Linked DNA regions of Oreochromis niloticus. The protein of the gene in region 3 interacts with the protein of the main gene of each other region in a pairwise test. Links are inferred from orthologs where the notes say so. Each region holds a gene or a part of one and is shown on either strand. Other genes may lie near its edges. The genes, in order: mindy3, sqstm1, rad23aa and zbtb8a.

Evidence for each region.
Region 1: the proteins of rad23aa (region 3) and mindy3 interact in binary tests that used the Homo sapiens proteins (3 or more experiments, as listed by UniProt). The two-hybrid records come from large-scale screens. The link is inferred for Oreochromis niloticus from reciprocal best matches to the Homo sapiens genes RAD23A and MINDY3.
Region 2: the proteins of rad23aa (region 3) and sqstm1 interact in binary tests that used the Homo sapiens proteins (3 or more experiments, as listed by UniProt). The two-hybrid records come from large-scale screens. The link is inferred for Oreochromis niloticus from reciprocal best matches to the Homo sapiens genes RAD23A and SQSTM1.
Region 4: the proteins of rad23aa (region 3) and zbtb8a interact in binary tests that used the Homo sapiens proteins (3 or more experiments, as listed by UniProt). The two-hybrid records come from large-scale screens. The link is inferred for Oreochromis niloticus from reciprocal best matches to the Homo sapiens genes RAD23A and ZBTB8A.

What each region holds. Positions count from the first base shown.
Region 1 is NC_031976.2:19,162,200-19,169,652, reverse strand, and holds the start of mindy3 (ubiquitin carboxyl-terminal hydrolase MINDY-3), read left to right. Parts: upstream 1-4,436; 5' UTR 4,437-4,557; intron 4,558-4,560; exon of another isoform or gene 4,561-4,695; intron 4,696-5,198; 5' UTR 5,199-5,435; coding exon 5,436-5,526; intron 5,527-5,853; coding exon 5,854-5,933; intron 5,934-6,762; coding exon 6,763-6,823; intron 6,824-6,965; coding exon 6,966-7,172; intron 7,173-7,370; coding exon 7,371-7,422; intron 7,423-7,453. Other genes in the region: si:dkey-12j5.1 (probable assembly chaperone of rpl4), read right to left, coding at 1-1, 681-773, 1,824-1,947, 2,046-2,155, 3,223-3,375, 3,489-3,635, 3,756-3,865, 4,016-4,205. UniProt on the Homo sapiens protein: Hydrolase that can remove 'Lys-48'-linked conjugated ubiquitin from proteins.
Region 2 is NC_031966.2:36,315,666-36,323,319, forward strand, and holds sqstm1 (sequestosome-1), read right to left. Parts: upstream 3,003-7,654; 5' UTR 2,824-3,002; coding exon 2,661-2,823; intron 2,352-2,660; coding exon 2,256-2,351; intron 2,177-2,255; coding exon 1,824-2,176; intron 1,748-1,823; coding exon 1,603-1,747; intron 1,354-1,602; coding exon 1,285-1,353; intron 1,148-1,284; coding exon 1,011-1,147; intron 882-1,010; coding exon 692-881; intron 608-691; coding exon 450-607; 3' UTR 291-449; downstream 1-290. Other genes in the region: uncharacterized protein mrnip, read left to right, coding at 1-247; E3 ubiquitin-protein ligase RNF4, read right to left, coding at 4,094-4,243, 7,599-7,650. UniProt on the Homo sapiens protein: Molecular adapter required for selective macroautophagy (aggrephagy) by acting as a bridge between polyubiquitinated proteins and autophagosomes.
Region 3 is NC_031969.2:7,064,873-7,072,510, reverse strand, and holds the start of rad23aa (RAD23 homolog A, nucleotide excision repair protein a), read right to left. Parts: upstream 3,011-7,638; 5' UTR 2,801-3,010; coding exon 2,735-2,800; intron 1,890-2,734; coding exon 1,728-1,889; intron 1,596-1,727; coding exon 1,393-1,595; intron 1-1,392. UniProt on the Homo sapiens protein: Multiubiquitin chain receptor involved in modulation of proteasomal degradation. Binds to 'Lys-48'-linked polyubiquitin chains in a length-dependent manner and with a lower affinity to 'Lys-63'-linked polyubiquitin chains.
Region 4 is NC_031983.2:27,606,062-27,613,988, reverse strand, and holds the start of zbtb8a (zinc finger and BTB domain-containing protein 8A), read left to right. Parts: upstream 1-4,924; 5' UTR 4,925-5,076; coding exon 5,077-5,171; intron 5,172-5,177; exon of another isoform or gene 5,178-5,766; coding exon of another isoform or gene 5,767-5,783; intron 5,784-6,091; coding exon 6,092-6,954; intron 6,955-7,048; coding exon 7,049-7,218; intron 7,219-7,367; coding exon 7,368-7,685; 3' UTR 7,686-7,927. Other genes in the region: gale (UDP-glucose 4-epimerase), read left to right, coding at 1,602-1,722, 1,961-2,076, 2,395-2,508, 2,819-2,995, 3,076-3,189, 3,306-3,372, 3,483-3,568, 3,650-3,727 and 2 more. UniProt on the Homo sapiens protein: May be involved in transcriptional regulation.

The DNA.
Region 1 (7,453 bases), on a different chromosome or scaffold from region 3:
TCTGAAGGAGAGAAAGAAAGAAGAAAAAAAATAAAAAAGGACAATACAACCACCTCTGCAGTGAGCGCTTTCACAGGCATCCACAAACATAGTTCTTCCTTTGTCTGATAATAACACAATCCAATTTCAAGGTACAAAACGTTTTGCAGCTATGTGGCTGTTAATCACAGCCAAAGTGTCAGCAGGCTGTGTTCACATCAACCTGCTCCCGAAGATAAGAGTCATAAGAGTGGTGTCACTGGGATTATTGTATCAAATCATCACACCAAACCCTCTTACATCACTTTTTTTATTATTTGAATCTGCAATTTATTTTGAGCTATTCAAAGCCCATCCAGCTTTGACATTATAGCCATTTTTCCTTTATCAAATTCCATGTTGTACTTTGCTTGTTTATACTTTAAAACCCTTCTTGGTGTTGAATTTATTATTTGCTTTCTCTCTGCGCAGTCTAACACAAATGTATACAGGTTTGTGAAGTCTGTGTTCCACCTTTCATCTTCTATCATTCCCTCTTTATCTCTTACTTTTTTTTTTATCTGTACAGCTGTCCTTATATTTGTGCACACCACATAGCATGCTCTGACAATCTTGTTAGTTAAAGGGGCTTTATAAATAAACTGGGATCTTACTGGTGCTGGTGGAAGTGAGACAAATACCAGCCCACAGCTACAGCCTACCTGAATGTCTTCCCCTGCGCTGGACGAAGCTGCTCTCTGTTTTAGCGCAGGTAGCCACATTCCGACACTCTTCAACAGGTAATCTTTGCCTTCCTGAACACAGAAAAAGAGCATATAAATATAAAAAGCTTTTTAAAAAAAAAATATACATTTCATTTCTTATGCAAATGTATATACAAGAGTAATTGGAGAATGCACTCTTCACACAAATCAGTTCCTACAGACTAATCCCACTGTATAATTTACTTCCACAGACTAGCTATTGGATTTTCTACAGAAACCAAGAATCCCTGGATTAATTTGGGAACAATTTATTTTTTCTTGTTTCTTAGAAAAAATTCCAAAAAAAGAGACTTTGTCACAGGATGTGGAAAGGTGTGGAGTGAGACTGGAACCAGCCTGACCCCTACAGCTTACAGGTAGTATTACAGATCCTTTGCTGCTCCGTTTGGTGATAGGAGTGCATGGAGAGTACGGAGAGACAGTACAGAGGTTTGAAAATACCCATTACATATAGCTTGCAAAAAACAGTGGTAGGTGAACTGAATGTTGTTTGTTGTATCATCAGTGCATGTTGAGGATGATTGAGGCAGACAGCACTGCCAACAAATACTTCCACATGGTAATTTAAGGCCATATATCAATTAGATTACATTTCAAGTAAACAATAAACATGCTTAAATACTTCAAAAAAAAAAAAAAAAAAAAAAAAAAAAGCTTTTGCCTTGAATGCCGTCTATTAATAGTGGTTTAAGATGCTCTTCATTTAGCAATGGCTCCCGCATGTACAAATATACATGTGATGTAAAAATACAGAAAGTTTATTTAGGATATTGTTCTAAACTCACTGTCAAATGTTACACTCAAAAGGTCTTGTGGATTTTTTTCTAAATTTAGTCCAATATGCTTTTCCCTCATCTTTTCTCTTTTTATCAGATGACTGCATGACCTTAATGATCCGCCCAGTAATTAACATTCCTATCGGCATGACCTGTCCATCTGCTGATTAATCGCATACGATTCAATTTGCTCAGAATAATTAACTCAGCAGATTCCCGCTTTAATGTGGTGATAACTCATCTCAAGTGTGTGTGCGTGCCTCTGAGTGTGTGTGTGTGTGTGTGTGAGAAAGAGAGGACTGACCTGGTTTCTCTCTGTACTGAACAGGTAACTGGCCATAAGCTGTAGAGCCTCTGGGTTGTCATGGTGATACTGTAATGCTTTCTCTATGAACTCTCTGCACTTGTCGGAAGCCCCCTCCTCCATGCTACATGCACACACACACACACAGAAAAAGAAAATCTCAAAATATTACCAAAGGCAGGCCTATCAGTGTCAAGTGCATAACTCTGTGTGCTCTAGTACCAGAGGTCTGTTAAGTAAATCTCAGCGATGGAGCAGTAGGCTACACTAACATCCTTCTCTGTGGGGAGTTCAGGGTCCTCATCTGGTGGGGCAGCAGCTCCAGCCAGAGCCTGCATGAATCAAAGGGCAGACTTCTTTAGTTTCTAAAGTTCAGATTATTCATTACAACTCAAAAGAGACTGAAAGAGACTTATATGAAACAGAATCTAAGACCGGTTTTCTTTTTGAAATGATCAGAATAAAAAGGGACACCATCTGAAAAAGCCTTTTCCTCTGAAATCATATTAACATGTCACAGCAGGAAGGAAGCAGTAACATCAGAGTTGCAAACTGCGTGAATTAAATTTATCCAATTTACTTTCAGAGTCATTGCTCTGTTCGTGTTGATTCATTGTCACAGTTATTGAGTACTGACACACTTATCTAGCTAGAAGTGACACTTCTAGCTATTATATTGAAGACGTCTGAATGAGAGTAATAAAGAGACCTCACCCTCACAATGATATTAATAAACGAGGTGTCACAAAGTTAAACAACAACAAGGATATTGAATAGGTGAATGTAAAATTGACAGAGTAATGCATTTGCAATTATTACAATGTATCCTAACATTTTTAACTTCATTCTTCTATTCTATTTTCCTTCCATTTGTTGTAATTTAACGTTAACATTGTAATGCATGGCACATTATTATGTCCTCTAAATGAGAAAACATTTTATCTTTGCTTACGCAAAAAACTTCACGAGCCATATTTTCTTTTTTAAATAAATAAATATATTTAAGGGGGAAAAAAGGCAGAAGTTTTAAAACTACCATCCTCTGACCACTTCAAGAACTGCCATTTTACTCTTTTACATTTTCGGTGTAAAATCTGTTTTGTTTCAAAGTTAAGTTCACAGTTCATAGTTTTTAGTGCACTGTAGTGTCGGTAAAGTGTTTTGTAAATATCTGTAATTAGTATTACAGGTCAGGAGTAACAGTTAAACCTATGAGGATGCTCATAGGTTTGACATAAATCTGTCATAACAATGCATGTCACTAAGATATGCATTGTCCAATAGCACCCTCTTGTGAAAATGAAAAAATTCAGGAGCCTTGAACACAAAGTCATGACATCTAGTTCAGTTTCCATAACCAGATAAACAGAGAGGGGTATTCCTATGTTCAATCACTTACTGTTGTTGTTCCTTGTTTCTCCAATGTATTCAGTAGGACTTGTATGCCTTTGGTATAGTAGTCCACAGCCTCCCGGCCTGTGTGGATTTGTCCCAGGTACATGTACTTACTGTGGCCAATATCTGGGCTAAGCTCCACAGCACGCAAGAATACGTGAGAGGGGAGTCAAGGAAGCCACAACAACCACTGCATTAGAGTAGAATGAAATTATCACAGCAGTGTAGTGAAAATACAAAATTATGGACACAAGCAGCGAGAAAGGATATTTCTTTTGCTTTCTGTGTGTCTCCTAATTCAGAGGAAATGTGCCCCAGCATGTCCAGAACTTGCAGGTTGGTGGGCTCCACATCCAGGGCTCTTTGACAGAAAAGGCTGGCCATTTCAAAATCAAAACTGTCCATGCATTCTTCAGTCTGTACACCACAACACATAAGGAAAGCTCAGTAGTTGATTAGAATTTAAAGAACAAAAGGATATTAAGACAATGGCATATTTGGGTCCTGCCTTTGTTGTGGATATGTAGTAAACGTTACCTTCTGTAGGAGTTGCTGTACTGAGTACTTCTCCGCTGTCTTCTTCTTGGCTTTTTCTTGCATTCTTACCTTCATCCTTTCTTGAGGTGATAAACCAACAAATCCTCCATCTGCAGAGATGTTACAAGTGCACGTATAACAATAGTTTTTATTAGAGCTACACTCAAAACATAACATAACAGTCCTTCCTTTCTATAAACATTGTGTGTACGAATTTGACGTTATACACAGTAAATAAAATGATAAACCAGTGAACTCACCCCTGTTTGGACGGTTATCTTTCCTCTTCGGTTTATTTTTCTTTTTACCCTTAGCTTGACCACCCATTCTGAAGAAAAACGCGTCGTATATTTCTAAAATCCCTGGGCTCAAACCCCACTTTTCCCAAAGTGAGACTCTAAACACGCGTGGACAGTAAGTTAAAGTTAGCTTAAAGTATACAGTGCACATGCGCCGGATGGTGACTCTATTGCTCCTACGGAGAGGGGTAGCGGCCAAAAAAAGCGAAAGTCCTGACTAAAGCTGGTAAAATGAAACGCTGAACGAGGATATTTTATATGCCTGTTGGTATGAGTCCGTTTATTAAAAAAATATTATTTAATTGAGAAGATTTCCGAGACTTTAATAATGATATTTTTCTTTCTCCAAGTTGCTAAGGAGAGCTTTAGTTCAGTTAGACGACTTTCCATTTATGGGCGGGGTTCTTTAATATGATTGACAAGTCTGTAGACTACTGAGGCAACGCGCTGACGCCGCAGCCCTTGACGCATCTGGAACTTTCTGGATTTCAACCAATGAGCAAGTACGTCAATTGTACGCCTTTCTCTTTTTTCACACAATTCCGTTGTAAATAAACGAATGACAGAGACGCGGTTGACGGTGAAATTGCTACCAGAAAATTTCATCAATACAGAATACCATTATCGGACTGTGTATTAAGGTAATTAAGGCCTTTAATATAAACCTATCGAAAACCTGGGAGTTCATGTAACGATTCTAGCCGTCGTTTGAATGTGCAAAGTAAATGAATGACAAAGCAATGAAAGATTAGCTGCTAGTAGTGATGCTAATGCTAACTGTTGACAATACCAAACTAACTCGGTTGTTAAGATCAAAATTTGGTGCATTATTTTCTCAAATGTCTTGCAAGGTAACAACGTCGCCACAAATAAGCAAATTGTTATCTAGTTATCAGTTTTTAATAAACGATTCTTAAATTAGCGTTAATGTAACTGGTAGATGTTTAGCTGGTTTATAACCCCGGGAAGTATAAATTAGTATTCATTTACCAAAGTAAAAAACTAGTTGGTCTTAAATCGGGCGACTGTCATCGTGGATATGAAAGTAATCTGCACTTCCTAATGGACATTTTCCCCCACAGACCGAAACATGAATATGTTTTTTTCTCATAAACTGCATGGTTTCTGTTCTATCACTTGGTAGGCTGCTGTGGTTACGTTGATGTCATTCCTACCCGCCAGTGTGCTGTCAGTACTTGTAGTCAGGCTGTCGTGCACAGGCAGCTTGTGGCCAATGCCACAGGTTTCGACCTGCCTGGAGAAGTAAACTGTCAGCAACAAGAGGAAAGCGCAAGTTGGTGTAAACAGGCCTATCTTTTCTCCACCTGGCTGTTGGACTGAAGAGGGACTGACTTCGGATCATCCAACACTGAAAGCTAACATGTCAGAGTTAAATAAAGATGTGGTGGATTTGGTTTGGGGGAGACCCTCCAGTGGAGTGTCTGTCTCTATTTTCCGTAGATGGGCCCAAGGTATGATACTTTTTCTCAGTATGTTGTCAGTATGTTGATAAGAGTTTAAACTAATTTCCCCCAAAAGGGGTATGAAGCAATAATCCACTGTATCCAGACTTTAAGACCAAAAGACAGCGAGCAGTGATTTTGTGTGAAATTCTAGCTGAAACAAAGTTAAAATGTAAAATACTGAAAATGAAAGTATAAATACTTACCTGCATGTTGCGGTTTACGCCCTGATTTTGGTCTGTGGCCCTCAGGTCTTCAGCTGGATATCCATTTGTTTGTTTGTTTTGGTTTTTTTAAGTTGTTATCGACACAAAATCTTTTTGCTGTTTATGACAGGATTTGTTTTTAGTGAAAGTGAGCTCACAGCACTGGAGCAGTTTGAAGGAGGACCCTGTGCTGTAATAGCACCTGTCCAGGTAAGATCGTATTCAGCCTTCTGACAATTTGTCCTGCTCATTTATGATAAAATATCTTTATGCAATTAGACTAAGGAGCTTGGAAAGAAAATAATTTATGCAATTATTTTGGTTAAAATTGAGATTATAATAAATGCAAACTGAACTAAATATGCCACAGCCTGACAACAAGGTTTTCTGCTTTAAAGGAGATGTGTTATGCTCATTTCCAGTTCCATGCTTGTGGTCTTGGTCTTAAAGTTTAAAATAATTGTATTTTATCTTACATTGGGCTGTAGTGTAGCTCTTCAGTTCATCCACATTCTATAAAACATTTTTTAGCTACTTTTACCCTCCCTTGAACACAATGTTCTGTTTTAGCTGCTCCTTATAAAAAAATGGTCTTATTTAACAGTGGGTAGGGCTACTCACAGCCAGACATGCATGGCTCACTTTAGAGTACCTGAACGTTTAGCTAAGAGGTATTATGTGCACATGTGCTGACCTCACATTTTGAAACATATTCCTTGTTTTATGTAAACATCCACCATTAAGGAAACGTATAATAGATCCCATCACGAGGGGAAAAAAAGTACACTGGATTTATAAAAGAAGACAAAGTGAGACAAACATTGTGAAAAATCTAATCTTGACCATCTTGTTTTGATCAAAAATTAGATTTGTATAACTGGCGACCCCATAAAAATGGTTACTTGTATAAAATGAAGTAAATATCAGTTTTTGTTAGTCTGTGATTGCTGATTGTGGACAAACAATGTCTAAGAGATAAAGCACATTGCACCATGCAATATTTCTTGCAAATTTGGTTACAGACTTTGTTTCTTTGCAGGCTTTCCTCCTAAAAAATGTCCTCTTTAACAGAGAAAGTTCCAACTGGAGACAAATGTCAGGTAATTTCTTAAATTAAAACAAAAAACAAACTCATTCATTGAATTGCCTGTGCTCTTAATTTTATGTAGTCGGCATGGTTTTTTTTTGTTTGTTTTTTTGTTTTTTTTTAAAAAAAGCACGTTTTATGTTTGTGTATGTTAGAGGAGGAGCAGAAAATGGCACTTTGTTCGACGCTAAGCGAAATCCTGGAGTCTGTCTGCTCCAGCACCTCCACGGGGTTCTGCCTGGTGACCTGGGCCAAAGGACAGAGCCCACACACTAGCACACAAACGATCACACAGGCACAGTCGCAAACACAGGAGATGCCAGAGCCAGCAAGCAGTCAGCCACCACAGGAACAGCAACCCAGTGAGTCCTACGTCTGTCACATTTCCATAAAAGATGCACGTTGAAAATGAAACTGCAGAAGTATTTTTACTGTTTAAATGAAGACTTGTCTTAATATTTAATTGTTAAATAGAAATTTTTAATGACTAATTACTTGATCCAGTATTTCGATGTGACATGCTCTAATGCTACGGTTTCTGTGTGTTTTATTGTGCCTAGCTGCTTTGGCTGCTGAGGAGCTTGGCTGTGAGCAATTTCACAGTGTTCTCCAGTAAGTGACAGTAAATATTCTGTCCACATAT
Region 2 (7,654 bases), on a different chromosome or scaffold from region 3:
GAACACCTGTAGCCCCACCCTCTCCACCACCAGGTGGGCTCATTTCCTCAGCCCTGACTCAAAGGTGCAGGAGGGGGAGAAGCCTACAGTTCATGAGTGTAGTCAGTCTTTAAGCGGTGTCGCTGCTCCCTCCTGCGCTGGAATAATCAGCAGGCCCCGCCCTCTTCTTCCTGTTACCTCCATGTTTGACAGCGGCGAGGACTTTAACTTTGACGACGACTTCCTTGTTAAACGTCGCCCAGAGTGACCGTGCATTTGTTTGTTTCTAAAGAGGAGACTCTGACAGACTGTGCTTTTCTTCATGCTTTTATTGCTCACACAGAAACGTTTATAGGATGATCAATAAAGAGAACAGAAACATTGATTAATGGACAGTATTGATTGTCATTCAGACAACAGAGTAGAAATAATCAGATGCAGGTTCTGACATCGTGATGATATCATCAGTGCTAGTGTGGGCGGGGCTGCTTGGCATACTGGATGGCGTCCAGCGCAGCGCCGATGTCAAAGTTCTTGGCCTGAAGGAGGCGGGTGAGCCAGCCGCCTTCGTCCGTGAAGCCCATTGAGAGCATCGAGGCGAGCGACTCAACCAGGCGGGGATCGGCCTCTGAGGACAAAAGGTCAGAGGTCAGCAGGGTTTAGAGGTCAGTACTAACAGAACTAAAGTCACCGAGTGTGGACGCCAGCTTACCTTGAGGCAGGTGTGGGTACAGTGCCGCCTCCCTCAGCCCGCTGGGGCCCGCCTGCCCCTCAGACAGGGGCCCCTGCTCCTGGTTGTCAGGCTGCAGGGACTGCAGTTCACCTGTGGAGGGGTCGACCTCTTTAGAGCTCAGGTGGGTCCACTCCTCATCAGAGTCCTTGCTCACCTGAGGGTCACTACGCTACAAGGTCACAGGAGATGTTAAAAGGGAGTTCTTCCTCCCTGCTGTCCCGTCAGGATCAGCTGATTGTTCTTTCTTCTGATATTTACATCATGAAGCACTTTGAGGTTTTATAAAAATAAAAGTTACCTTTGCTCCCAGACTGGCCCCGCCCTCACTGCTCGTATGCTCCATCTCCTCATCGCCCTCACCCCCCCCACTCTGAGTAGGTGGGGTCACCTTGGTCCGTTGGCCCTCGTGCTCCACGTCGATGTCCACATCGATACCTGTGTAAAACACACGCACCACTTCCTGTTTTAGAGCCAGCTAGAGATGTTCACTCATCTCACATGCACAAACACAGTGACGTCTTAGTCTTTACCTTACAGCATCAAACAACTGTTTAAATAAGGCTGACACTCACCTAGTGGGCTCAACATGGCTGCCACACCCTCGCCAATGTTCTTCAGGAAGTCCACATTGGTCTGAGAGCCTGCAGGGAGAAATGAAAGATGTTTTAAAATCACACAGATGTCACACATAACATTATTTTAGTGCTGTGACAGGATGTTTAAAGGGCCACACAAACGCGGCTCTGATGTCATGACCATTCAGTCCGCACACAGCCTTTTTATTTTGAAATGTTGCTGCATTTTCCCTCTTGTACATCGTTTCCTGACCTTATCTGCTCTGATCTGACTTATTGATCAAGTATCACTTTAACCAAGATGGCAGAACTCACCAGAGGGGGTGTTGGCATCAGCAGCAGGTTTAGAAGGGCTAGACTCGTTCTGGTCCTGGTCGTTGTCCTGGTTCTGAGCCTGGTTCTGGTTCAGGTTCCACATGCAGTGTCTCATCCTCTTCATCCACTTCCCCCGAGGAAACCACTGAAAAACACAGCCTCACAGTCATGTTTTGAAGGGCCTGAACAGGACACCTGCAGACCTGCACAGGTAGACTCACCTGCAGTGGATGCCAAATGGGCAGTAGAGCGTGCTCAGTGTGCTTCCCCTTAGCCTGGCAGGAGGAGCAGAGGTCGTAGTTCGGACACACTGAACACTTGAAGCGGGTCCCGATCACAGGGCCATCGCAGCCATCACAGGTAACGTTGGGGTGCATGGCGTAGGGTGGGGCCACATGAGGAGGAGGCGGACCCATGTGTGGCCCATGGGGCGGGGCATGAGGACCTCCAGCATGGGGAGGTGGAGGACCTCCAGCATGGGGAGGTGGAGGACCTCCAGCAGGGGGAGGGGGAGGCCCAAAGGCAAAGGGAGGGAAGGCATGGAGAGGGAAGTCCCGTCTGTGCTCCTTCTTCTCTGTAAGAATGAAGCTTTATTAGCACAGCTGGAGGACAGATACAGCGAGCAATAACATTTATACAAACCGCAAACATACCTCGGATGAAGAGGCGGAAGGTGGAGTCCTTCATGCACCCCAGACCCATCATCAGCTCATCATCAGAGGAGAAGGCCACCAGGTCCCCATCTTCATCTGCATCATCATCATCATCATCATCATCATTAGTCACACGCTGGTGAACTACAAAGGCTGCAGGTGACTTTCTAATTCCAGACTAACTTTGAGGGTGTTTGTCCGTTTACATGACTATAAATAAAGATTAATTCAACAGCGGATTATGGTTTCATGCGTTTACAGGGAAACCGGTGAGTCTGGTCAGGTGAGTGTGCGCCTGCGCACTAACTCAGTTACGTCCCCACTCTTACAGTCGCAACTTAAGTCAATAACAATCCAGGAAGCGATCAGAGTGTAATTCCCTCATCTGAACCCCCGCGCGCTCACCTCGGTAAAACAGGTTGAAGTTGTTCAGGTTTCCAAACACGTCCGCAGTTTTCCTGCTCAGGTACTCGAAGCTGCAGGATACGTCCTGATCAACCGCGAACCTGCGGATCTCCTTCACCGCCTCGTCCTTCCCCAGCAGGTAGGCCTTCACAGTCACCGACATCCTGCCACTGACACCGGGTACACCTGTGTCTCTGTCCGCTGATCGTCAACCGGAGGCTGGGTGTATGTCTGCGTGTTGTTCGCTGATAGTCAACCGGAGGCCGGGTTTATCTCTGTCTATGTCCGCTGAGAGGTGTCCAGGTCCAGGAGTTGGTGAGTTTGTGACGCACTTTGAAATCTCTCGCTCTGCTTTATGTTTACTTCCGCGACAGACGTGGGAAACGACGTATGTGACGTCAGGGAAGTAAACACAGATTCGGCCTTCTATTGGCTTTTTCTCAGAGTCCCGCCCACAGGACCAATGGCAGCCGAGGAATGACTCGACGGCTTTCCAATGAGGTACTTTCCCTGAGTCATGTGACCTGTTTAAAGTTCATAATAAAATATCGCAAAGTCATCGTTACAAGACGGTTTCAATACCTGATCACAGAGCAGGCTTTCGACATGAAACTGATCATCAATAATCAGGCGGACTGATCAGAGCTCACAGCTGACGGGGTTTGGATTAATAAATCAATCATTCTGGCTCTGCTGCTTACTCTCCAATCAAAACCAAAGATATGCTCATGGTCACGTGACTGAAGCGTTTTAAACCTGATCCTGAGATCTGGACAATAAAACCTTTCAACTGATAACTTAACCTTTATCTCTAAAAACACCCAGTAAACATTTTAAATAAAGTTTTAAACTTCAGAACGAGTGTCCAAGTTCTTAGGTCTGACTGATTTATTGATCTTTGACGCGTTTGTATTCATGTCTATTAAACTTATCTGTTTTTCTGGCAGCCTCGGCCAATCAGCAGCAACTCTTCAGGCAGCTGACTCTGAGTCACTGCAGACAGGAGACGGTGACGCAGAGTCACAAGACTAAGATCCACTACCCATGATTCATCAGTGCAAGCACCCTCCCCAACACACACACACACACACAGTCAGACTAAAACAGTGCTGTGCGTGTGTGAGTACTTCCTGTACTCTGATTACAGAAAGTACATTGTGCAGTATTTTTCCTCCACATTACTGCCGTAACTTTGTAGATCCATCAGCTGATCAATGAGTGAAACAAATCAAAATTTATTTCAGCTTTAACAAACAAATCAATACACATGAATCATTAATCCATAATGTTTACCAGCTATGACTGAACACTTTAATGTCCAAACAGAGGCGCACACACAAAAAAGAAAAAAATACAATTCAGCAGCAAATAATATCAACATCATGGCCTGTGGTCCAATGGCAGCAGGACTCAGCTGTGGTCTCAGAGTGATGTCAGATGTACAGGGGGTGGTACTGGCGGTGAGTAAGTCTCTTCCTGCAGGTGGGACAGGTGTGTGATGATGTCAGAGAGTCTCTCAAACACTGACTGCAGAACACGTGACCACAACGGGTGGACACGACCAATCGGCCGCTCCCAACGATCTGCGAAAAAAAAAAGAAAAAGAAAAAAAAAAAGAAAAAAAGAAGCGAACAAAGAAATTAAAAAAAAAAACAACAAAAAACAAAAAAACAAAACCCACAACAGCCAATCAGAGCAATGCACTCAAACATCACTGTAATACTTTCAAAGTAAAACACAAAACCACACTGAAAGTTTCAAAATAAGAGTCAGGATATGTATGTTTATTGATTAGGTTCACTGATCAGTGGCCATGTGAATGTAGTAAAGCCTGTATTTCATTACCCACAATGCCTCAGGAAGCACACATCTCATCAAGCATTGTGCTGGACTATTTTTTAGACACACTCGAGTCACCAACACCAATTTGTTCTGAGCACGCTCACACTGAAGGAAGCGTCCCCTGCATTAAATCAGCAGCGAGCTGAGGGCTGTAAAGTCGATCTTGAAGGTTACTCAGAGCTCACACTAGCTGTGTCCCAATTCCTAGGCCGCATCCTTCGGAGGACCCGGGCTTCGTGGTCTATGTGAGCTGGGTCCTCCGAAGACCGAGAAGGCCGGAAGTGAGAGGCTGTGAAAGGGGACGGTCTAGCCTTCAGATTTGTGTCACCAGCCATCTCGATGGGCATGAATAAACTCAGCCATCTGCTCCTTGCTATCTAAAATATAACAGGACACTGGAGTAAATTCTCGATCATCTCGACCATCTTCTGTATGGACAGCAAAGGAAGAATTTCATTGCACAGAGAAAAGCTATTTCTTCTACACACATGACAATAAACACTTTGAATCTTGAATCTCGCACTTTGTTTAATCAGTTTTCTGTTTGACGTTTATTCAGCTGTGTGAAAACCCCCGAGGAACCCTCCCGATGGATTAATAAAGTTTTATTATCTAATCTAATAACTTTTATCTCAGCCAAACCGATTTACTCCGGAACAAATAAAACAGTGAAAAAAGCCAAACAAAATAACATTTAAGTTATCTGAATGACTTGTATATCATGTTTAACCTGAGTAGCCAAAGACGGCGGCGGGTCTGATAACGATGTGCCGGGTGTCTGCTGTTCTCTAGTGAGCCTCGACCTCCCGGCTAGCTATCGAGCCGGTGGGTAACAGACATCTCCAAAAACGTCGCGCTTTTGCAATTATGCGATTTCTTGATAAACCAAGCAGATATTTGAAGTTTACACAGCTACTTTCTCGCCTGGAAATATGTTAAAAGTTTATTTTGTGACCCAGAAAGATTAATAAGAGTAATATTAAACTAAACTGGAATTGACTGGGCCGTGCTATGAATTCTGGGATACGGTGGGCCACGAAGGACACACCCGACCCATCCTTCAAAATCTCGGAAAATGAAGGACGCATTTGGAGGAGTCTTCAATTTGGGACAGCCTACCTCACGTCGTTCAAATGCCGCCTCAGGAGGATACAGCCTAGGTTTTGGGACACAGCTAGTGAATGCTGCTCGGTTTGCAGTCCTGAATATGATGGCACAAGCAGGATTCACTGCACTGTTAATGTTAGCTATGTTATATTGCTGCCTCTGTTCGGTGGCGTCGAGCCAAACGGACTTTAACGTGTGTTTGAACGAGCTGACGGTTCACTCGTTAAGCTGAAAGAAAGATGCTTTAATCACAGGAGTCACACATGTGTCCACTGGACCATCTGGGAACTCTTCTTGTTTAGTACTCGTAATAACACAAACACTAAATCCTCCTTCTCTTGTGCTGTTTTGTAGCAGTGTATACACCTGAGACTGTCACCTGTCTGTCTGTCCTGCACTCTCTCTCTGTTTCTTTCTCTCTGATTGTGGAATAAAAGTATGAACATGTATTTATAAGTTACACTTGTGTTTGAATCCTGCAGCTTATCGCACATTTGATTTCCATGTGTGACAACTGCAAGTGTCCAGAGTGAGGACAGACTGAGGGACCCACTGCTGCACATCATCTGTGAGGCTTTGCACCCCTGATGATCCACCAGGACAAACTCAGCAGTGTGTGAGGAAGAGGAGGAGGAAGAGCCAGCAGCAGCTGACAGATTGAGAGAATAGACAGACTGTTCCCTGTTTGTGAAGGACTGCTAGGAAAGTTTAAAAGAACTAATTGTCTGTCCTGAATCAGTCTTATTAGGTAATGTTCAAATCATTTGATTATTCCAGTGTTTTCAGTGTGGGAGAAAGTACTCAGGGCCTTCAAGTTACACACTATGAAAGGCAGCAACAAGTTTAATATTCAGAAACCTAAAGTATGTATCAGCAGCAGAATGGAGCTAAAAATAAATGTTTGTTTCAGTTCTATGAAGCTTTGAGTATTTTGGATTAGTAGCACTGCTGTGTTTGTTGCATCCTATTGCTGTAATTGTTTATATGCTTTATATATTCTGAGGTAAGTTGATCTATAGTGTTACATCATTTTCTATAAGGATGTTATGTGTTTGTATACTTTCTGAGCACGCTCACCCTGAAGGAAGCGTCCTCGGAGCTCACACTGAGCATGTGCAGCAGGATAAAGAAAGAACCTCGCTGCTGGCACTCTGTGTCAGTAAAGTTCATTTTTCTGCTTTATTCATGCTGAACAGTCTGAACACACACACATAGGGCTGTGCGATATGACCAAAATCTCATATCCCGATATTAAGACATCTATCGTCGATATAACGATATAAATTACAAAAATGTAACATTTCCTGTAAATTCTGTGAATCTCGGGCATCTCGACTTGCGTGAAGTGTTTCCAGCTGGGCGTCGTGTACCTGGAGTCGAGTGTGTTAACTGATGCATGGAACTATACATTTTTAGACGTAAGTTGTAACAGCCGCCGTTTTCTTTGTGAGTATTTATTACACAGCGTGCTGCGAAGAAAAGTCTGTTCTAACGTTTGAGTCTAAGGTTTATTTTTTAGCACCTGGCGGCTCTTTTTTGCTTCTCATCCGTTAATACTCTGCATCTTTCACGTGACTCGTTTTATTTTGAAAAGCCTCAACAGGATCTTGAGCTTTATTGTGAAAGGTTTATGTGGAAAATAAACAAGCGGACACAAGGTGGTTTTACCGTTGTTGTTGCTAACGAAAACGCATAAAAAACAAGCGCTTGTCCGTCTGTAGTGTGGTTATATTAAATATAAGAGAATAAGAGAAAGAGAGAACTTTAAGAAATTAATATAGCCACTACAGTGACCATCAAAATGATGAAAAAATATTGCCGTAAACAGTTTATTTTGCGACACCACGAAACAAACGATAGCGTAAAATGAAGCGATAGACGTTTTTCTATCGTCATCCGATATATATCGTTATATCGAACAGCCCTACACACACACACACACACACACACACACACACACACACACACACACACACAGGTGTGACTGACCTCTGAGTATCCGTCCAGACACACAGGACAGCTGATTGTCCCTGGAGTTGACCTGA
Region 3 (7,638 bases):
TAGGAAACAGTAATAATCAATGGTACACACGTAGTTGGGCAGCTGTAACTCTGTTGAATAGTGTATTCAAAGCGATCGTCAGTATGCAGATTTAACTATACATTAGTCCAGTACATACAAGCAGGTCAATTCGTGCTCAGACACACTGGAAATGTTTAAAATGATTTTATTACAGACTTAATCATGCACATCTCTTTTTCCAAGGTATGCCTGCCAAATACAAAGCAAAACATTTTGGTTTGTAATTTAGCTAACTTATTGACAAACTCTATAACCCATGAAGCCTAAGAGCAGATCCCACAGATTTAGATTCTAAGCAGCCGAATGACATCAAGAAACAACACAACAGCAACAAGGTCAGCGAGACTGTCAGGAGGATGACACGAGACAGAAAAAGGGATGGCTGGCTAGTTATCTGCAGCTGATCTTTGACCAAAAAAAGACAGGATTGATTTCCACTATAAATATCAGTCTAAGAGAATTTCCATCTTGGATGGTGATTCTCTTAAATTGATAAATAGAATTTTTTTTTTTTTTTTTTTAAAGTCACCAGATGAGGCAGCCCAACCAAGAGTCTGTGTGCATGGGAAGCACTGCAGTTATGAGTTATGTGCTCAGGTTAAAACCATCCCTGTTCTTATCTTAAAAGTTATCGGTTGTGATATTGACTTGAACAAGTCCTATAATACGTTTTATTACTAAAATGTAATACCTACAGTTGTTTTCATTATTCATTAATCGAGCCGACTGGTTTTTAACAACCAAAGATGGTCGACTTGTACATCTACAACCAGGCAGACATCCACTTAATGTGATAAACAGAAGCAGGAATCAATGGCTTATCAGCTTGGAGAATTAAAAAAGGAAAAAAATGACTAATTTATGATTGTAATTTCCCACCAATCTCTTAATTGATGCACAGTTCTTACAGCTCTAAACATTTCTCACTTACACATATTCTGGAAAATATGATGTAGTGACATCATCCAGTTTTCTCCTTTATCACAGAGTAAACTTTAATGATCAGCACGGCCAATTATCACAGGCAATATTTGCCATTTTTCCAGCTACTGGAAACATTACACTTTTTGACACATTTTCCTATAAAACAGTTAAGAATGTGCAGGGCTGGCTCTGATGCAGGCCTGAAAAGAGCAGGAGGCAGGACACAGGATGTACAATTGCTAGCTGTGACTTTGCCTACAATCTTCTCGCACTGGCACAAATTAGGTGCATTCAGAAACCAGACAGACTCTATAATATGACACTGGCTGGTTAAAGGCTGTTTAATGTCCGAGCTGTCCAGATCATACAATTATCTCCATTTAGTAGTGTCTACAAGAGTTCAGCTGGCAGTGCAGAAAAACAGCATTAGTAATAGAGAGAGTGTACCTAGCTGGTTGTTGTGGTTCTGTGGCTACGGCACTTGACTCCTCTTTGGCCTCCCCGCTAGGAATGGGGACAGCTGCAGGGGCTGGGGCTGGGGCTGGAGTTGGGTTTGTAGTCGGGGCAGCTGTTGATGTGGAGCCAGAGTCCTGTACTGGGGGTTTGGGTGCTTCTGAGACTGATGGTGAGGCTGCAGCTGCAGGCTTAGCCTTTTGTTTATTTAAAAAAAGAAAAAAGAAAAAAAAAGTGCTATTAGACTATCAACATATTGTTAAATCTGTTTAACATGAAAAGAAGCCAAATACACTAATGTCAGCCACAAGTATTAATTAGGATCTCACCTTGGACACCATCACTACAACAAAGTTCTTCTCATCAATTTTGTAGTCCTTAATTGGTGTGTCATCTTGCAAAATTTTCCCAGCATATATCAGCTTCTGCCCGGATACAGGAAAGTTGTCTTTTCCCCTTTCTGCTTCTATCTTCTCTTTCAAGGCCTTCACCTAATAGTAATAATAACAAATCAAAAAACAAAAAACACCCAAGAACTCATTATTATCCATGACATGTCTTCCAGTGCTTGTAATACCAGAGGTTTAATATTAGATGACCGGCTTTCCTTTAAGTCATTACAAAGCAGGGAGTCATCCTAGCTGACTTCAGCTTTAAAGTTAGGTCTACTAATGCTATAAAATGCAGTGGTCTCTTTCACACCTAGTCCTAGTCTATTACGTGTTTACTAAAAAACCAAATTTTGGAATGTCACTAGAATTATATCCACTGTGAGTATGCTCGTACTATTTCATTATAATATATCACTTAACAATGGGCCCTGCAAGCTACACCTTCGGATGTGAGGACATGCTAATAGACAGAGTCAGTTTCTGAGTGAAGCTAATCGCAATTGGCAGTGTCATAGGCGTTAGCATTAGCAATCACGAGCGTAGTCCACAGCTTGCGTTCATCAAAAGATATTAGATTTAAATCCTAACCCATATCACTCTTTAACAAAGAGCAGTAGACACAACCGCGAAACGATATTTAAATGATGAAAAAAGTCGTTTAAAACTGTGTCGCTATGACTTTGATAATGGGCTACTCTGCTAGCTAGCTTGCTAACGCTAACTCATCACAGAAGTGAGGCGTCGCGTTGTTTTGCGGTTTCTTGTGGGTTGCCACTTTGTAACGTGTGCGACTATTGCGAATCCTCCAGTCGAATCTAGTTGTTAGTCGTTCTTTAATGTGTAATATAAACGAACTGGAAGCTGTCGGGTCTTCACGCAAAGCCAAAACACAGGTCCCGCAGCTAGCACTGTTAGCTTAAAGCACGTTAGCTATAGCCACTCACCGTTTGTTCGGGGTCTATCTCAATCTGAATAGTCTGCTGCTGCAGCGTTTTAAGTGTGATCTGCATGGTAGCGGCGACTGACGCTGGGTCAGAGGTGCTTCAAACAAAGAAACAGTGGTTCGCTAAACAGTTAATTTGTTTTTAAAGTTGGCGTTTCGGGTAAGATAACAACTAGCCGAGAAATGTGTGTATCCATGAGCACTCAGCAAATCGCCATCTTTGGTGACAAGTTGGTGGTGCGGCGAGGAAAGCTCCGCTAGAGGGTACGAGATCTCGCGTTCACGTGCTCTGCTCCGCGACTATGGCAAGCTATGGGGTTTCTATCTAATAGCTACACAGTCATTTTGAATGGTAATATTGACAGCATATCCACATGGGATAAATATTATGAAAATATGGCCAATTAGAGTTACAACAGGCTAAAGTCAGAAAAGTTAATGCTATTGTAAAATTGAGTTTATATTATCTGAAATGTGATGCACATATCAAATTCTGCCAAAACAATAACATTAACGAACTGGTAGTTAGATAACTGGCTTTATAGAAGTACATGGTCAGCATTATGTGACTTTTAAATCTTTATATGTCTGTTTTGTAGCAAATAAATTAAAATAATCATAATAATAAAAAATCAATCTTGTGATTAGATCACGGCAGCTGCTACACTAGTGAGCACCCAAAGACCTTTTTAAGCAGCAGCTGTTTTTGTATGACACAGTCTGTAAATGAAGCTGTGTAATGATTTCAATTCTGTACCTACAGAGAAAAAAGCCGTTTTAAACGTTTAGTAACACTTACTGTAATCCGTCTGTATCAAACCATAAACACAAAGCACCTTGTTGAATCTGTGCCGTGAAGACTTAAAGCAGTTCTGAAGGAAAAAGGCGGACCGACCCGGTACTAGCAAGCTGTGCCTAAGGACACGGTGAAAGTGTGTTCAATGGAAAGAAAATGACATAACAACAGTCAGTGGAAACCTTGGCAGTCTGGATTTAAAATATACCAATTATGGAAACTAAAAATTTTCTAAGTGTTCCTTTTTTCTTTTTCTTTCGTTTTGTTTTTTGAACATGAGAGAAGTACTGTCGGTGCTTCTATTACCCCATTATTAATAGATTACTGAAGATATCCTAAGTTTGCCTTTTGCATGGCCATTTTCCTGTGGTGCGTTTAGAAATCGACCACATATCTGAACATGTACACGAACAAGTACACGAAAGATCCACTTTTTAACTCCTTACTGAAACTGAAATATTACGTACAGTAACTACAAAAAAGGAAAAATAAAATTCACATCCTTTAACATCCACCAGAGGGTGCTGCAGCTTCCTCAGGACCTACTTCCCAGGCTTTGCAGCGCTTTCAGATTGGAAATGTCCCCAGCATATGGGGACAGATAGTTTTGCTACAATAAAAGTCCCCTATAAACTCAGCCCTGTATTGATTCTGAGCAAAACATCACAACTGTAAAGTTTAGCTACTCTATCTTGCGCATTGACAAAAACTGCCTATGAGGTATACACACACACACACACACACACACAGTGAAAGCAGTTTGGAGGATGGTTTGTTGGCATCTTATTCAAACACACACTGCAAGCTCGCACTTTATCAGTAATCAGTGTAGTTTAGTGTTACAGTCACCAGAGGGCAGAGTTTGACCACTGCCAAACACATTCTGATTAAAATGAAGAGGGGAATAGAAAACATGGGAAATTTTTGAGTAATAAAAACCAACGTGTGCGTGTGAGAGATGGTGTTTGTATGTGATGCTGCTTTGGTTGTTTAACTGAAGCCTTCATGAGAATGGGAACTGGGCACTGTCATCAACACATGCTAAGCCTGTACTACAGAGGGTGGATGCAAAGGTTGGCGAGTTTACTCAGAGTTACACGACTGTGCCTTTTGAGAAACACGGGGAATGAGAGAATAGCTTGTTCCCATTTTACAAACCTTTAGATGAAGGTAAACTGTGGTAGGTGCTACAGTAATCTAATATAATAGCCTACGTGTGTGATTTGTTACAAACGCACACAACAATGTGCACATACATTGAGCCAACGATCAGTCAAGTCTTGAGCCAGCTTTGTGACATCAATTTTTTATCAAGTTACCCCCTCCTTCCATCGTTCACTGCCAGGTTTGCGAGGGTCTCCCTGTCGGTTCTCTTCTTCCCGCTGCTCCTTATCCTCCTCATTATCATCCTCCTATTCTTCTCAAGATTTTTTTCCCCCTTGCAACCTTTATTATACTTGTATTTGGTGATTTTTGTCCCACCTGATACTACCGCTACCAAAGTGGCTTACCCTGTTTTGTGTGAAATCAGGTGAAAAAGGGTGAGGGCTACGAGGGGAGAGATCACGGAAGAACAGAGGGAAGTGAAGACAAGATTAGAAAGAGAGCGGAGAGAGGAAGGAACAGAGTGATGAAGTGAAAGGAGAAGGGTGTCAAAGGGGGAACGGTTGGAGCGTAAGAGATTGATGAAGAAGAATGAGAGACGGTGAATGCATGTGTGTGTGCGAGAGAGAGGATGGTGCCCTAAATGTGTGTTCATCTGGGTTAATTCTCAAGGACAGAACTATTAAAGATTAACAACCAACCACCATGTTTTATTGAGACCAGCCGCATTTGCAGGCATATGGCTCTAAACACAGACCCACTTAAATGTCTGTGATTGTGTGTCCGCTTTTGTGTGCATGTGTGTGTGTTTTTCTGGAGGCCTTTATTTTGTTCAAACAAAACGACAGTCTTTTCTAGGAAGATATATTATGACTGTAAGCTTGGCTGTTTGCTGGAGTGCTGCAGTCAAACCTCAATTACATCAGCCTCACTTAAGCCACACACCTGACAACAGAGTGCTACAATATTGTGGAGTTAACCAGAAACTGCAAATAATGGCTGTTAAATGATCTCTTGGATGTATGGAAGAAGCATTTACAAAGTAAATAAAACACTAAATCTTGGCGCCATGACTCGCCAAATCTGACACCATGACTGTTTGGTTAAAAGTATCGAGGGGCAGCCACATTTAAAACGATATGTGGAGACCATAGAAAGCCAGTGCAAGTGTGATGCAAATTAGGTGTCCAGACTTTAAAGTGAGTGACTAAAGTGATTAAGCAATGGGAGCCAAAGATACGGTTGATTAACACAATAAGGTGATAAATACATTAGACAACCAGAGCATGGAGCCATCTTCTAGAGTGAAGCCCAACCGATTGGCTGATATTAGCCATTTGCTGACTGAAATAAAAAAAAAACTAAAGAAGGGACGGTAGAAACACCGTTCAACCATGTTATGCGCACTGATTTAGCATAGTTTGTCCACCAGAGGGCACTCTGCAACTTCTCAGATGCTAACGCAGAGTGTAACAATCGGCTGTTCCAAGCAGTGTTGGACAGACTGTAAATGAGTGTGCGCGACTTGCTATGACAATAAAACAAGCTTATTTTTTTAATTCCATTGTCATATTATCTTAGTAAGGACTCATAAGTAACTGCACATGACCAACATATCAGATTTATTGGTCTTAAAAATTCTATATCGGTTGGGCTCTATTCTTGAAACACTGTAACAGTTTTTATTGATGACTCCCCGATCTAGCTGTTAACACAAGTGGGTGGCATGTATTCCTGTCTTATACAGGCTATACCAGCTATATTATTACAACATGCTGCAGTCAGAAGTCTTATATACCAACAGTCTAAAGAGCTTGGAAAGAAAAGCGTCTGGACTTCCTTAAGTTGCTTGAAGACGTTTCACCTCTCATCCGAGAAGCTTCTTCAGTTCTAAGGTCAAATGGTGGAGAGTCCCAGATTTAAGTTCTAGGGGAGTGTCCCCCAAGGGGGTCATGAACCCCCTGTTGATCCTCTACCTAATCACACGAGCCAAGGTGTGAAAACGGGTGTAGGTCGCAATCAACCAAGGTTTTGGGTGAACCCGCTGTGAAACCTAGCCCCACCCTATCATGTGATTTCCTGAGGTCAGATGGCCCAGGATGTGAGTGGGCGTTAAGGCGTCTGGGAAGGGATCTCAAAACTGGATTATAGATGGCAGACAGTTGGTGTCGTAAATCACCGCCTCTGTTCAAAGATGGTAGTTCACAGTGGACATAAATGGCTTCTTTGACTCCTCTTTCAAACCATCTGTCCTCTCTGTCCAAAATGGGAACATTGGCGTCCTTAAGACAGATGATAGGGAGGGGCTAGGTTTCACAGTGGGTTCACCCGAAACCTTGGACTTAAATCTGGGACTCTCCACCATTTGACCTTAGAACTGAAGAAGCTTCTCGGATGAGAGGTGAAACGTCTTCAAGCAACTTAAGGAAGTCCAGACGCTTTTCTTTCCGAGCTCTATAGACTCCCATAACCTGGATGACTGAGAACCTTCGCAGTTATACCAGCAGTCCTAACTTTAATGGGTCTGAAATACTGCAGCAAGACTGCTAACAAAAGCAAACCCCTGCATCCATACACTGGTTATTTGTATGATTTAGAACTGCTTAAGATTTTTTTAATGATAACTTTTAAAGCACACTTGGGGTTGCCCCTGATTATATCTCTAACATGTTAATTCTTTATGAGCCTAAAAGGAGCCTCAGGTCTGTTAGTCATTCTTACATCTGGGGACAGCAATGATTATTAACCACGAGCCATTCATTTTTCAACCTTGTTAAGGAGGGCCAAGTGAGTTCTGTCAGCTTGTGGAGTTTTTTGTATCCCATTAGACACTACAAAGATATCATAACATGAAAAAAACATTATAAAAAAATATTAAAAGGCAAAAAAAGAAAACAGTGTTTTAGCATGGTACTTGAATGCAGATGTCATTCTTCATTTAGTTAGTAGGAACTAATAAAGCTCCAGGTCAATGGAAAACTTTAGTTTGTATTGCGGGGCCCACT
Region 4 (7,927 bases), on a different chromosome or scaffold from region 3:
AAAATCTTAACACCTCCAGCTCGGCCTCCTGTTTTTCTGCCAGTGCCACGATATCAGAATCATATAGCATAGCAGATCTCACTGCCATCTTGTAAATCACATCTCTTGCACGCTGTCTGTTGCTTTGGATGCTGGACCCCGGGTTTTTTGTGTGTTTTTTAGTGGAAAACAGCACAGTGTGTCTCAGTAACAGTATGTCCAGATATTAACCCCTTTTTCTGACCCTGGGTGTTTAAACCATAATTCTGAGTACCACATTAAAAACTAGTACTGTTGAAAGGGGTTATGGCGGTCCAGTGATTAGCACTCTCGCCTCACAGTAAGAAGGTTCTGGGTTTGAATCCAGACGGGGGTCTCGCTGTCTGGAGTTCGCACGTTTTTCCTATTGCTTACGTGGATCCTTTCTGGCTTCCTCCAGCAGACCAAAGACAATTGTAAATAGGTAAATTTTGATGAATTAAATTAGCAGATGAAAATGGGTGGATGGACTGCTACTAATAAAGCATCTAATTGCCAGTTGTGTAAAAGTATTTATCAGTGTAACATTAATGGATGTCAGCATTTAAGGAGTAAAGAAGGACCTAAAACTAAACTAAACTGAGATGGGCTGTAAAGAAGTCCATCAGTTATATTTATCCCATATGGTTTTACAGAAGTTGGTTTCGCTTTCTTGAAACTGAAGAGAATTTAACGTTTGTGCTTTTATTTTGAAAGCAGGCGTACAGGAAGTCGTCTGTTAATCTTTCGCTTGACTCCGCCCCACGTTTTACAGGAAGTAAAGAAATGTCTACAGGAAAAACTAGAAGACTTCACTGAATGAACTGACGGATAAACCTTCAACACTCACCTCTTCTGCTTCTGCTTCCGACAACATTTATCAAGAGTCTCCACCGGAAACGCCTGTTCACCTCTTAAAGAGAACCTCGGTGAGTATTTTATAGAAAATTTAAATGAAAGTGAACTGTTGTGTGTCATTTTAGCACTTATTACTTAGGTTATGTCTTTATTCTTCAAGTAATATTATAAGATTTGGTTAATTAGCCTGAAGAAGCAGCTTTTACTTTTTTCTTTTAAAAAAAAAAGCCTCTAAAGTTGCTCTGATCCAATATTTCATCCATTTGAATTAACTGTAATGTGTGACGACCTGTAAAGAGATCAAGTATAAGCCTTGAGATATTCTGATTGCTTCCGTGGAATAAACAGGATGTCTTAAAGATGAGTAATAACTGGAACTGAGTAATAAAGTTTCATCATACAAAGTGCAAGGAAGTTGTGGCCTGTTGGAAAGAGAATATCACTCTCTCAAAAGATAAGATGGCTCTTAACAATAGCCAGTAGTCACTGACGTGTTATTCTTCGAGCAATATAATTGTTTCATGTGGTTGGACAGGTTAAGGCTTGAACCTGCTGACGTGGGACAATACAGGTGTGTCACTTAGCTTTAAAGTGGACTTAACAAAGCTTTCAGGTGTGTCAGGATAAAGGATATCCTCATCCTCCAGTCAGGATGACATAGTTTTGCTTCCACTACAGCATTCAGACTGAGAGAGGATTTTGATTGACTTGATGTGATTGTATCTTTTATCCATCAGACCCAAAGAATGGCAGAGAAGGTGCTGGTCACAGGTGGAGGAGGCTACATCGGGAGTCACTGTGTGGTGGAGCTCATTGAAGCAGGCTATCAGCCAGTCGTGGTGGATAACTTCAGTAACGCTGTGCGAGGTAAGCTCCGTTACGCACACCAGTGAAGAGCTTTTACTGAGAAAATTATTGAAAAAATTGTAGGGTCTACCTTACAATATAAAGCGGCTTGAGGCAACTGTTGTTGTGATTTGGTGCTATATAAATGAAATTGAATTGAATTGAAAAATAATCAGCGTGATACTTAGACCTGGTGTTTCTGTGTGTGTGTGTGTGTGTGTGTGTGTGTGTGTGTATATCCATTGTGTTTTGGATTGAGGAGAAGGGAATGTGCCAGAGAGCATACGCAGGATAGAAAAGCTCCTGAAAACCAGCATTGAGTTTCATGAACTGGACCTCCTCGACCGCCCCGGCTTGGAAAAGCTGTTCAAAAAGGTCAGAAAGTTGTTACAGTTGCTTTGTTTTTTCTAATTATTTATCTGCATCTGAAACTGTTTTACAGTGTAGACACTTTGATTTGTAAAGTCAGTATGTTTGGGTTTGTTTAGCTGAAAAAACAGCCCAATTTCTGCTTTACTGTTACACCCATAAAACAATCAGCAATAAGAAAAATGCACCACCATTTAACTTTTATAGCCTTTGCTTGTTTTCTTAAAAATGTCCCTGCTGGCCTGCATAAACTGTCATGAAAAGCAGTTCATTTGTAGTATTTGCGGCCTGTGTCACACGTGCTTCTCTGTTTGTGTGTTGCAGCATTCCTTCAGTGCTGTGATTCACTTCGCAGGGCTGAAAGCTGTGGGCGAGTCGGTGGAGAAGCCATTACTCTACTACAAAGTGAACCTCACCGCCTTCATGAACCTGCTTGAGGTCAGTCAGTAGCTCCTGGGTGATCTCAGATTAGCACTTTGAATCTTTGCTCTGCACTCATTATTAATCCCTGCTCTGACCTTCTTCTGTGTTTGCCGAGCGCACACCCGTGTGCTCATTTGAAAATGAGCTGATAAATTCTAAAACCGCGTCCTTCTGAGATGTTATGCATGTGGAGCTCACCGTAACAGCCAGAATCGGCCTTTTTTCCTCAGCCCTGAGCTGAATGCACGTGTGCTGTGGACTGCTGACTCTCCGGCCACTGATTGTGTGTATGTGCCATGTTTATGTGTATCTGCATGTGTCCCAGGTGATGCAGGCTCACAGAGTGCGCAATCTGGTCTTCAGCAGCTCCGCCACAGTATATGGAGACCCCCAGCGCCTACCCATAGATGAGCAGCACCCCGTGGGAGGCTGCACTAACCCCTACGGGAAGACCAAGTACTTCATCGAGGAGATGGTCAAGGACCACTGTAAAGCTGAGAAGGTAAACTCAGAAGAAACACATTCACAGATGTGCACACTTCCATCTCCTGAAGTGTCTCATTATTCCTTCTCTGTGGGCAGGACTGGAATGCTGTGCTGCTGCGCTATTTCAACCCAATCGGAGCTCATTGCTCCGGTCAGATAGGAGAGGACCCTCAGGGTATCCCTAACAACCTGCTGCCATATGTTGCCCAGGTATCTAAAGTCTCTGCCAGATGCCACGCTGTGCGCATCATAGTGATTGTTATTTCACTGTTTCATCTGTCTCCATGAATCGCATGACTCCGATTTGCTTGCATTGCTTAATTTAGGTAGCCGTTGGGAGACGAGAGTGTCTGAGCGTATATGGAAATGACTACGACACGATCGATGGCACAGGTAACGGAAATCACTGCAAATCATTGCACTTGCAGGCAGCTTTGAAATAGCACTTTAAATAGCAGCCAGATACTCAGAACCATGCAAACGAGGCTCCTTTCTGTTTGCAGGTGTGAGAGATTACATTCATGTTGTGGATCTGGCAAAGGGACACATCGCTGCTCTGAAGAAGCTGAAGGAGGACTGCGGGTGCAAGGTATAACAACTTGGAGCAAATTTCCATCACGACCATTGTCACATAGATGCTTTAGGTATTTATTAGTGTGTGTGTCTGTAGGTTTACAACCTTGGGACAGGAAAAGGCTACTCAGTGCTTGAGATGGTGAAAGCCATGGAGAAGGCTTCAGGAAAAGAGGTGAGTCATCGTGGTTACTGTGAGAGCTGAATCATGTTTATAGTCTGTTTTCTGGAAGTGACGCAAAGCACCACCAATCTGGCACTGTGGAAATACCTCTGATCACCTTATTTGTCCATGTAATTAACACAATGTGTTTTCTGTTTAGATCCCATATAAGATCGCCCCTCGCAGGGGAGGAGACGTAGCTTCCTGCTACGCCGACCCTCGCCTAGCTGAGAAGGAGCTGGGCTGGAAGGCTCAATTTGACCTGGAAAGAATGTGTAAGGACAGCCACGCTGGAAAATCTGATTCTTCTCCATGTTTGCTTTTCTACAGTCAAATAAAAGTGTTGTAGTATCTCCTGTATGATCTCTGTGTTTTTTCTTTGCACCTCTTTCCATGCAGGTGAGGACCTGTGGCGCTGGCAGTCCATGAACCCCACTGGATTTTCTAACGGCACTTGCTGACGCAACCCGAGTGGACTGTTGCTTAAAAATCCTCTTTTAAAATCACCAAAGGGAACCACCAGCTTCCTCATTCGCGCAATGACACATAAGACCTCAAGAGAAGCTGCATTGTTTTTATTTTTGTTAAACTCTAATGATTCAGCTGACTACAAGAAGAGTATCTAAATGTCTGTTTACTCTTTGCTGTTAGCTCAGACTTAACAACTGATATTTTCTCTATAAATGTATTGATCTGTGAGCCATAACAATGAAAGAATAAATTAATTTTCTTACTGAAAAGCTGAAACGTGCACTTTCTGCCTTGACTGTGTGGAGTGATTGTGACCCTGGTTGTTGTTAAATACATACAAATATTTTTTTTTCAGAAATGGGGGGGTAGATTAAAGACTCGGACCTGTGTGATAAGGTTAGAGGAGCATCATGAGTCCCTGCACAAATACTGTATGAATATCGCTCCTTTCGCAGTGAGGGCGTCTGTTTAAACGGGGCACTGGGACTTTAAATGGCTCCTTGAACCCTCGGGCACCCAGTTAATAAACACCCACGTCAGCACAGTGCTCCAGTCGGTCTAACCGGGTTTCGGTCTTTAGGGCTGAGCAGGAAGTGCCTGACTGTGGACCCTGGACGAGCAAAGAAAAGAGCGGAGGGGGGGAAAGGCAAACGGGAATTAAACATGGATATGGTGGCGGACTTGGGGGCGAGCAGACTGTACAGGGCGCCGGGTGAATCGAGCCACCAGTGAGTATCGATGGATTTTGTCAGGGGGAGTATGAAGGCGTGGGGCGTAAGCGGGTCCTGCCGACACCTCGCGCCTGCGAAGCAGTCGCTCGCTTTGGGCAGCAGTCAAATCCTCCCCGCTGCTCGCCGGACCTCCGGAGAGAAGTGGGGGTGGTCTTGAGGATGAAAACGGGCGTGTTAGCGCGTCGTTGCCCCAGACTGTTACACAATGCGAATAGATGTGTTTTTCCAGCTCGCAGCGCGCTCACTTGCCGGAGGTTTGTGTCTGTTTTTCTATTGTGTGCTGGCTGAAGCCTGAAGTGGGCGTCGCTCCAGGACAGACAGACTGAGCTGCCCGCTTTCCTCTCGCAGGACTGCAGCACTGTCGTGTCGCTTTGTAGGTCGAAGGATGTCTGATTTTACGCGGAAGAGCTCGGTGGGGACGTTAGACTTGATTTCGCGTGCCGTGAAAGGCACCATGGAGTCCTGCGGGCGGGCGTTGCACCGTGGGTTGTCGGGCGCTGCGGAGGTTGTCACACAGCCGCGCTGATGGCTCATTAAACACGGGTGCGTGCAATCCCGAGCCTGCATGAGCACGGATTGAACAGGTTACCGTGAAATAAGAACTGGTCTGAAAATCAGGGTGCTGGACCTATTTTTTTTCTTTTTCTTTTTTCTCTTTGCGTGTCCGGCTGCAGTGTTTTATTTTCTCTTCCTACAAGTCTGACGCGTTTACTCCGTCGGGGGTTTCTGGAGCGCGTGAGACCTCAGAAATGATTCAAGGTTTTGTCACCCGATGCTCTCTGACTGACTTGAGTCGGGTGTAACCCATTAGGAGAAGATTTTGCTTGAAGGATCCTTCAACAAATCAAAATGCAGAAAAAAGTCAGGTGGGCGGGCCTTCTGCTGAGCCGGTGTAAAGACAAAGATGCAAAAATTGACAGCTGCAAGCATGTGGTGATGCTGTTGTGTTTATTATGCTCAGATGAATGTGGCATGATTACCATTGTAGGCTGTTACCAGACCATTAAAATCCAGCGGCCTGTGTTTTCCATGTTAATTTGGCATTGGGAAGAAGTTCAGTAATGAATGTCCACCAGGTCTACAGGACTTGTGTCATTTCTTATTTTCTTGCTAAAGAAGTGAGTGTGTCTTGCATACAGAGCTAGTGAGCGAGCTGTCATGTTGTCTCCTGCAGGCAGCCTCAGAGGTGGTTCAACACGGCCGACATCACAGTGTCTCACCAAAGCAACCTGCTGAAGCAGCTCAACCAGCAGCGCCGCCAGGAGCTTTTCTGTGACTGCAGTGTGTTGGTGGAGGGCCAGCTCTTCAGGGCTCACCGCAATGTTTTGTTCGCCAGCAGCGGCTACTTCCGCATGCTGCTGTCCCAGGGGCCCGATGACACTGTCAACGCCACCTTTGACGTCTTCAGCCCCGAGACCTTCACGGTCATCCTGGATTTCATCTACTCTGGCCAGCTGGACCTCTCCAGTCACAATGTGATTGAAGTCATGTCTGCAGCCAGCTATCTGCAGATGAACAACGTCATCAGCTACTGCAAGAACTTCATCAAGTCCTCGTTGGACATCAGTGTGAAAGATGAAGACAGCGATCGCTGCCTCAGCTTGTCTGAGACCTGTAGCTTTACCAGCGGAGCAGGAGAAGACTCCACAGAGCAGCATCAGGGCCCCTGCTCTGTCAGCCCTCCACCTGCGCTCTGGACTCGGGACAACTCCAGATCACAGTCTAGCTTTATGGGAAAGGACTCGGACCAGGATCCTTCGGCCTCGGCCCTGAAGACTGATCCAAACAGCCCTGTTAATGAGCTCAGTGCAGATGCAGAAGACCTCCAGGACCCTCAGGACCCTTTGTACACCTTGCCTGGATCAGACCGTCGGCGTGGAAAAGGGAGTACAAAGAGGCGAGCGACCAACAGCGCACGGTCCAACCAGCACGAAGACTTGGACATCCAGGAGGCGCGGACACGAAAGGCTGAAAAGGCAGAGGAGCTTTACGCCACTCTGCCACCAATTGTGGGTGTTATTGGACACTTTAATAAAGGTGTGTGCCACCAGAAGATGATGATGACGGGAACACTTGGACAGAGATGATAGGGAAAAGTCAAATGTCACATTTTCTCTGTTCCTCTTTGCAGATTCGAATCCTACCATGCGCTTCAAATGCCCCTTTTGCACACACACAGTGAAGAGGAAAGCAGACCTGAAGCGTCACCTGCGCTGTCACACCGGTGAGAGGCCGTATCCATGCCAGGCCTGCAATAAGCGCTTTACTCGCCTGGAGCATCTACGCAGCCATTTTGAGACGGTAGGTGTTTTCACAGCAGATGGTAAATTTACACTTTCTTCGGTGTCCGTGTCGGCTTACAGCTCCAGGAAAACAAGCTGCTAAACAAATTTACTCTAATATTTAATAAATCGTTATCCAATCTTTTCTTTTTCTTGTTAATCTCCCAGATTCATCAAGCCAGGAAGCTGGTGTGCAGGAAGTGTAAGTGTCAAGTGACCGAGGAGACCGGGCATGTGGTGTGTGAGGGCACGAGACGCTACCGCATGTGCACAGCGTGCATCCAGGAAGTGGGCTGTGACGACATCCCCATGAACAGCCTGGAGGGCCACAACGAGGAGCCGGCGCTGTTACTGGGTGTGGACGGGGAGGAGGAGGGGGACACAAAGAGGAGCTGGATGGTGACTGACGACGATGACCTGGCAGAAGACTCGGGGGCCGACCTCATCATCCAGCAAGTGGACGTCAGCGACGAAGAGCTGCAGTGAAACTGGACCAAAGTGTGCGTGTGTTTTTGTGTGTTTGTGTGTTTGTGTGTGTGCAGATGCATACCCAAATTTGAAGTGTTTGTGTTTTAAAGTGGCCCTGGTATGCTCATTTTCAATTTAGGGGTTTACTACAATAAATTTACATTCATTAGTATTCAAAAATCATTTTTCTCATATTGTACTGTGCATAGTGTTGCTGCTGCACCTCTTTTCACCATCTGCCTGAAACGATCTGTTCTAGG